2 linked regions of the Macaca mulatta genome follow. The protein of the gene in region 1 purifies or fractionates together with the protein of each later gene. This does not show direct contact. Links are inferred from orthologs where the notes say so. Each region holds a gene or a part of one and is shown in the gene's direction. Other genes may lie near its edges.

Evidence for each region. Proteins that work in one complex are often made in the same cells at the same time.
Region 2: the proteins of CAPN1 (region 1) and CAST purify together in Homo sapiens (co-immunoprecipitation; 4 studies listed by BioGRID and IntAct, counting the BioPlex papers as one, with this or other methods). This does not show direct contact. The link is inferred for Macaca mulatta from reciprocal best matches to the Homo sapiens genes CAPN1 and CAST.

What each region holds. Positions count from the first base shown.
Region 1 is NC_133419.1:9,188,784-9,192,283, reverse strand, and holds part of CAPN1 (calpain-1 catalytic subunit), read left to right. Parts: intron 1-12; coding exon 13-98; intron 99-468; coding exon 469-543; intron 544-640; coding exon 641-801; intron 802-1,829; exon of another isoform or gene 1,830-1,959; intron 1,960-3,500. UniProt on the Homo sapiens protein: Calcium-regulated non-lysosomal thiol-protease which catalyzes limited proteolysis of substrates involved in cytoskeletal remodeling and signal transduction. Proteolytically cleaves CTBP1 at 'Asn-375', 'Gly-387' and 'His-409'.
Region 2 is NC_133411.1:103,090,121-103,093,620, forward strand, and holds part of CAST (calpastatin), read left to right. Parts: intron 1-588; coding exon 589-627; intron 628-1,139; coding exon 1,140-1,232; intron 1,233-1,366; coding exon 1,367-1,453; intron 1,454-2,536; coding exon 2,537-2,638; intron 2,639-3,500.

The sequences.
Region 1 (3,500 bases):
TCTGGGAAACAGGTGAACTACCGAGGCCAGATGGTGAACCTGATCCGGATGCGGAACCCCTGGGGTGAGGTAGAGTGGACGGGAGCCTGGAGCGACAGGTGAGGGGCAGTGGGTACTGTCTGGGGTGCCTTGGGGAAACTGTTAGGTGCCCCGACATTTCTGCTCGGGGCTCTACCAGGCCAGGCTGGACTCAGGATTGAGCAGAGGGACCCATCTTCACGCAACTGGGTCTGGGGGACTGCCCTAACAAAGCTCAGGCCGTGCGGGCCTGTGCCCAGCCGTCGGGTGTTCGCAGGGCCTCTGACTGGCCCTGATGAGACCACTCGCTAGAACCGGAACTTTGGGGCTTGACCTTGAGGAGGCCACCTGGGTTGGGCTGGGGGAAGACAGGCCAGGGTAGACAGGCCCCAGGGGCAGAGGCCAGGCAGGTCAGTGCCACCAGCCCTGGCAGAGCCCCGCTCCTCACAGCTCCTCAGAGTGGAACAGCGTGGACCCATATGAACGGGAGCAGCTCCGGGTCAAGATGGAGGATGGGGAGTTCTGGTGAGCGCCCCCTCCCCTTCTCCCCCACCTCTCCACCCCTACACATCAGCTCTGTGCCCTGATGGGCTGTGCCTCACCTGTGCACCTCCTCCCTCAGGATGTCATTCCGAGACTTCATGCGGGAGTTCACCCGCCTGGAGATCTGCAACCTCACGCCCGACGCCCTTAAGAGCCGGACCATCCGCAAATGGAACACCACACTCTATGAAGGCACCTGGCGGCGGGGGAGCACCGCGGGGGGCTGCCGGAACTACCCAGGTGACCTGAGTCCGCGGACGCGGAGGTTGCACACAGGCGGGCTTTGGTTCTTGCTGCTTCCTGGCTTAGGGGCTCCAGAAGGCACGTCATCTCACTGAGCCTCTGTTTCCTCACTTGCAAGATACAGGCTGATCTCTTGAATTTGCTTTGAGGAGTAAAATATTAAATGTCTTCGCACATTTTAAAGAGGCAAGCTTGACTCACCGTCCTGGGGCCTGAGCCCAGTGTGCTCATGCGGGGAGAAGATCTTGTGGCCATCCAGCCACCTCCTTGTCACTCCTTTCTGGGCCCTTCCCTCCTGCCTTCTCTTTTTTTTTTTTTTTTTTTTCTGAGACAGAGTCTCACTCTGTGAGTACAGTGGCCTGACCTCGGCTCGCTACAACCTCCATCTCCCGGGTTCAAGCAATTCTCCTGCCGTAGCCTCCCGTGTAGCTGGGATTACAGGCACCTACCACACCCAGCTAATTTTTGTGTTTTTAGTAGAGGCGGGTTTCTCCATGTTGGCCAGGCTGGTCTCGAACTCCTGACCTCAGGTGATCCGACCACCTTGGCCTCCCAAAGTGCTGGGATTATAGGCGTGAGCCACTGTTCTAGGTCCCTTCTGTCTTCTCTTGCCATCTTTCCCTGGGCTTCTAGATCCATGTGGCTGACACGGGCCACAGCCTGGCCTCTCAGTTCCTTGTCACTCTCACCTGCAGCAGGCTTTTCCTGTACCTTAGCTCAGCCCCCACCATGAGGGCACCAGAGCTGCCTTGCCTTGCAAACACCCGCTCTCTGACCTCCACCTTTGACTCTTTCTACTCCCTTAGTCTTCAGCCCTTGGACCAAGCCAGCCCGTTGAACTCACCACTTGTATACCATCCTGCCTCTCCCGTCTTGCCTTTTCTCCTTACCTAGGTTAGAGCTATCATTTTAATCTTGTTCCTACAAACACCTTCTGTCCCCTGGCCCCTGTCTCCCATCATCTGGCACAATACCCATCCTAGTGGAACCCAGCTCTCCACCGGCTTGGGAACCATTGAGTATGGCAGGAGAGAAATCACATAACTGATGCCATATTTTCCCTGTAAATTCATAGCCACAAATCTCAAATAAGCATTTTCCATGATCCCCAGCAATTCCACTACTGGTTAGTAACGATTCCACTCTCACCTCCACCTCCCCCCATTGTTACTCTCACCTTCGGGCCTGGCCTTACACATCATTGAAATGATAGACGTCGTCCTGCAGGACACCTTGTGTTCCCACCTCCAAATCCCCCAGCCTTCTGCACCTGTGCCTGTGTCCTCACTGCCTCCCCACCTGCGACAGTGGCAGAACAGTCCCTGCTCATGGGGACCCCCACCTCTGCTCCGGATCCCATTCTCCCTGACCTCTGAAAGCATTTGCTCCTTCATCTGTCACCTCTCTCCAGCGTCATTATGGAAAATCCTCTGTCTTAACACAAAGCAGCCCTCTCGACCCCACTTCCCTGTTCATTTCTCTGCCCTCCTTCAAAGCACAATTTCTCAGGAATTACCATACTCCCTATTTCCTTTCTCACTTCTGCTTCATTGCTTAACCCTTCCCAGTCCAGCTTCATCCCTACCATGCTGCTAAAACCGCCCTTTCAAAGGTCACTTACAGCTTTGGCCTTGCCAGATCTGCTGCTGTGCTGTTCTCCTGTGCTTCATTCTCAGCACGGCTCCCTGCCCTCTGTTTTGAAGCATTCTTCTCCCTTGTAGGGATCCAATTTCAGTCTTTCCCGAAATAGATAACCACCGTTCCCTGTACCATTTACTGAGAAATACATCATCTCCTCACTCCCCAGCAGCACTAGCGCCCTCACCTAGTCCCCAGGTATATGTCGGTGTGTTTCTGGACTCACCATTCTGTCCCTGGATCTATCCCTCTGCCAATAACACATTGAATCCATTACTATAGATGTGTAAGTCCTGCTGTTGGACAGGCAAATTCCTTCTTCAACAGTCTCTTAGCTGTTTTTTTTTTTTTTGAGATGGCGTCTTGCTCTGTTGCCCAGGCTAGAGTGCAGTGGCGTGATCTTGGCTCACTGCAACCTCCACTTCCTGGGTTCAAGTGATTCTTCTGCCTCAGCCCCCTGAGTAGCTGTGATTACAGGTGCCTGCCACCACACCCAGCTAACGTTTGTATTTTTAGTAGAGACGGGGTTTCACTATGTTGGCCAGGCTGGTCTTGAACTCCTGACCTCAAATGATCCACCTGGCTTGGCCTCCCAGATTGCTGGGATTACAGGCGTGAGCCACTGCATCTGTCTTAGCTGTTCTTGGCCTTCGTTTTTCCAGATGAATTTTAGGATCAGTTTACCAAGTCCTACGAAAAACCATTTTGAGGTTTTAATTTGGAATTGCATGAAACCTATAGACCAATTTGGGGAGAATTGACATTTTTATAATTTTAAGTCTCATCCAAGGATGCGTTGTATCTCTTCATTTATTTTGGCCTTTAATGTCTTTCAATAGAATGTTGTATTTTTTTATCATAAAGAATTTATACATCTCTTGAGATTTAATGCTAGGTACACTATAATTTTGTTGCTATTATGAATAATATGTTCTCTTTTTTTTTTTTTTTTTTTTTTTTTGAGACAGAGTCTCACCCTGTTACCCAGGCTGGAATGCAATGGGGCAATCTCAGCTCACTGCAACCTCTGCTTCCTGGGTTCAAGTGATTCTCCTGCC
Region 2 (3,500 bases), on another chromosome or scaffold:
CTTTAGAATATAATTTCATGTCATTATTTTTACAATGTTTAAAAGTTAGAAAACATAATGTGCATGTGAAATTGTCATTACTCTGAAGCTCACTGCATTGGTTGGATGGGGCTGCTGTAAGAAAGTACCACAGATCAGGGGCATAAACAAGAGATTGATTGTCTCACAGTTCTGGAGGCTGGAAGTCTAGAATCAAGGTGTCAGCAGGGCTGGTTCCTGCTGAGGCTGTGAGGGAAAGGTATCTTTGAAGCCTATTCTTGGCTTATAGATGGCCGTCTTCTCCCCACGTCTCTTCACACCATCTTCCTTCTGTGCTTCTATGCATATCTCTGGGTCCAAATTTCCCCGTTTTGTAAGGACACGCATCATATTGGAGTAGGGCCCACCCTAATGACCTCACCTTTACTTGATTACTTCTATAAGGAACCTATCTCAAAATCAGGTCTCGTTTTGAGGTACTGGGGTTAAGACTTCAACATATAGATCTGGGGTGGGAGGCACAATTCAACCCACAATGGGCCATACATTTTGCCCATCTTAAGGATTAATTCTGCCTTCTCAACGTCATCAAATTAATATTTGTTTCAGAAAACGGAAGGGATCACAGGGCCTCCTCCAGACTCTTTGGTGAGTTTACATACATGTCTTCTGATCTAAATTAATATGTTTTATATTTTTGGTTGGGGGAACAGGGCTATCAATTCTATATTTGAGGATTATGATTTAACTCATCTCCAAATCAAATGGAGTTTCTGTGTGTTCAGAGAAAGGGCTTGGTGTGAGGGTTGTTTCAGTGCTCCTGAGTCCCATAAGTAGGGTTTCTGAGGGGAAGGAGAATGAAGGCAAGAAAGTATTAGGATAAACTGCATGTTCATAATAATAGAATGAGAATATTCTAACATGTAACTCCTTTAGAAACGGGGAAGTGGAAAATAATACTTAGTGAGTATTCACTAAACCTACTTAGTGAGTAGCCGCTCGCTTCAAAACATACAGTTTGATCTAAGTTGTTTTATTAACACATCTCATTTGGTTGCAAAGGAATTAGAAAAATGCATTCTTCATTTGCTAGCTTTATTATCCATTCTTCCACTTCAGCGGTTCCCATAAGTTACCCATCACTGTGCCTGTTTCTTTAGAAACCCATGGGGCCAGATGATGCTATAGATGCCTTGTCATCTGACTTCACCTGTGGGTCGCCTACAGCTGCTGGAAAGAAAACTGAAAAAGAGGTATTGTTTTTAGTGTTGTTAAGGGAAACTTGTTAGGAACTATTTTGAACTTTAAAAGAATAACTTTTTAGTTCAGGCTATTCCAGTTAAAGTTTCCTCATCCGTAAATCTCATCTTTAGTATTTTATTTTCAGGAATCTACAGAAGTTTTAAAAGCTCAATCAGCAGGGACAGTCAGAAGTGCTGCTCCACCCCAAGAGAAGAAAAGAAAGGTGGAGAAGGTATAATCACAGTCTACCTGACAGCAGTTGCTTTCCAGAGCCTGATCTAGCTCATTCAGGAAGCTGCCAGTAGCGCATTACCCATGAGGAGAAGCCATGATTTTTTCCCTCTCAGGTCTATCCGGAATAGGGAAGCCAATGAGGGTTATATTAATCATCTCCAGGCAAGCCTTGTGTGTTTCTGTAACTGCCTGGGAATTATTTTAGCACAGTTGTCTTGGTTGTCACCTAAGACCATCTCACCATTATGATACACAGAAGGGCAGAAACCAGAGAAATTGCACTCTTGGAACATAAAACCTTCAAGTTTGATTTTCTAAAGGACTTTGAGCACTGAGGATCACTAGAGGGACACCATGTCGCTGGTACTGCCCCCCACTCTCAGCTGTATTTCACTATGACATAATTCTCACAAATCGCAAAGGCAATCCTGCAGCTCTGTGCTGGCTGGGAACACATGTCTCCTCTGCAAACAGTCAAGATAATGCCCAGGAACAGTTTCTATCAGAGCTGCTTGTGCCTCTCCCCTCCTGGAGTGGACAGTTTATTTTTATCTGGCAGGCTGGGGAACAGTGGTGAGCACCACACCCCTGAGAGTGGGAGTTCCTCCAGCGATCAGCCATTGTGCCTTCAGAGAAGAAGTCAGCGGGGGCCACTTCAAGCTTCCCTGCTTTCAGCTTAGCAGGTTTGCTAAAGGTTATCAGAAGCCTTTTTAGAGACACAGTTTTAGAAAAAGAAAAACAGGGTGGTAACAGTTTACTACTTGCTTCTTTTTTGTGGTTGTTAAGAGTATTTTATAATAATATTACTATAGCTTTATGTCTAGCTTACCAAATAAGGGGTGAAGTGTGCCCCAGAGAACGCTGTTACTATAGAAACGTGTCTTAGCCCCAATTTCCACTCATTGGTAAGTTCTTTTTCCTTTCTCTCTTTTGCAAGGTTTCAAATAAACTTGCCTTTCTAGAGCACTTCCCCAATCCACATTCAGTTTATAATCTAAAATGTATTTCACAAAGAAGTAAATGGATTGTTCAGGCTCCAGAGATGTCTTTTCTCATGCACAGAATTTTTTACTTTTAACAGGATACAATGAGCGATCAAGCACTGGAGGCTCTGTCGGCTTCACTGGGCACCCGGCAAGCAGAACCTGAGCTCGACCTCAGCTCGATTAAGGAAGTCGATGAGGTACTGACCTTAGAGTTGATTTACAAAGCGTGTTAGTCTGCACATTACAAAACTGGATGCATTCTGCATGTTTAGAATTCTTGCACAACTTTTGCTGGAGAGTAAAAGTGAACATTCTTCATTGTGCCTTATTTATTGCTGAGTCGTTAGCAACTAAGAGGGATAGTTAAGTGATTGCTTGTGAAACAGCTAGAATTTTAACATTTGAAATGAGCATGAATCTTCCTTGCTAGAGCTTCAATGACACCTGACTAAACAAGGTAACAAGGAGGCAGTGCCTGGCGGGAAATAGTGAAGTTTGGCAATTGGAAATTTGTATTTTCAGAAGGGTTCTGGGTGCTTCTCTTTATAAGAGAGGGAGATGTCTATACAAGGAGTGGGAAGATCCTTCATTTATCACTGTGGGGAAAGATGTTGAAAATTTTGTCTCAAATTAAAATCAAGCAACGATTACTCCGTAACTAGAGCTCCTGCATATTTAGAGAATAATGCTGATAAGTGTTTATCCCACCACACTCCAAGATCTTAACAAGCCTCTGAACCAAAACAAGCTTATATCTGGTGTAGGAAAGTTTTAATATTAAATTATAATTTTTGTAGAATTTTTCAACTTGGTCCTTTTGGGGGAAAGAGGAAGGAAAAGAGAGAGTTGCCCGTTCCTGACAAGGCGGTGTTGTGGGGAGATGGAAAGGCAGCCTGGGATCCACAGGAGCTCACCCTGCCTCCATCAGCTCAGGCTGGGGGAGCTGGTAGGCACTGCTGTCACAATGCCCCATCTCTGCTGTCACTTCCTGTTCTGAGTCATCAGGGAAGGGGAGTCTCCCTGACTACCAGCAACTATCCTTGAGTCTAGGACTACCCT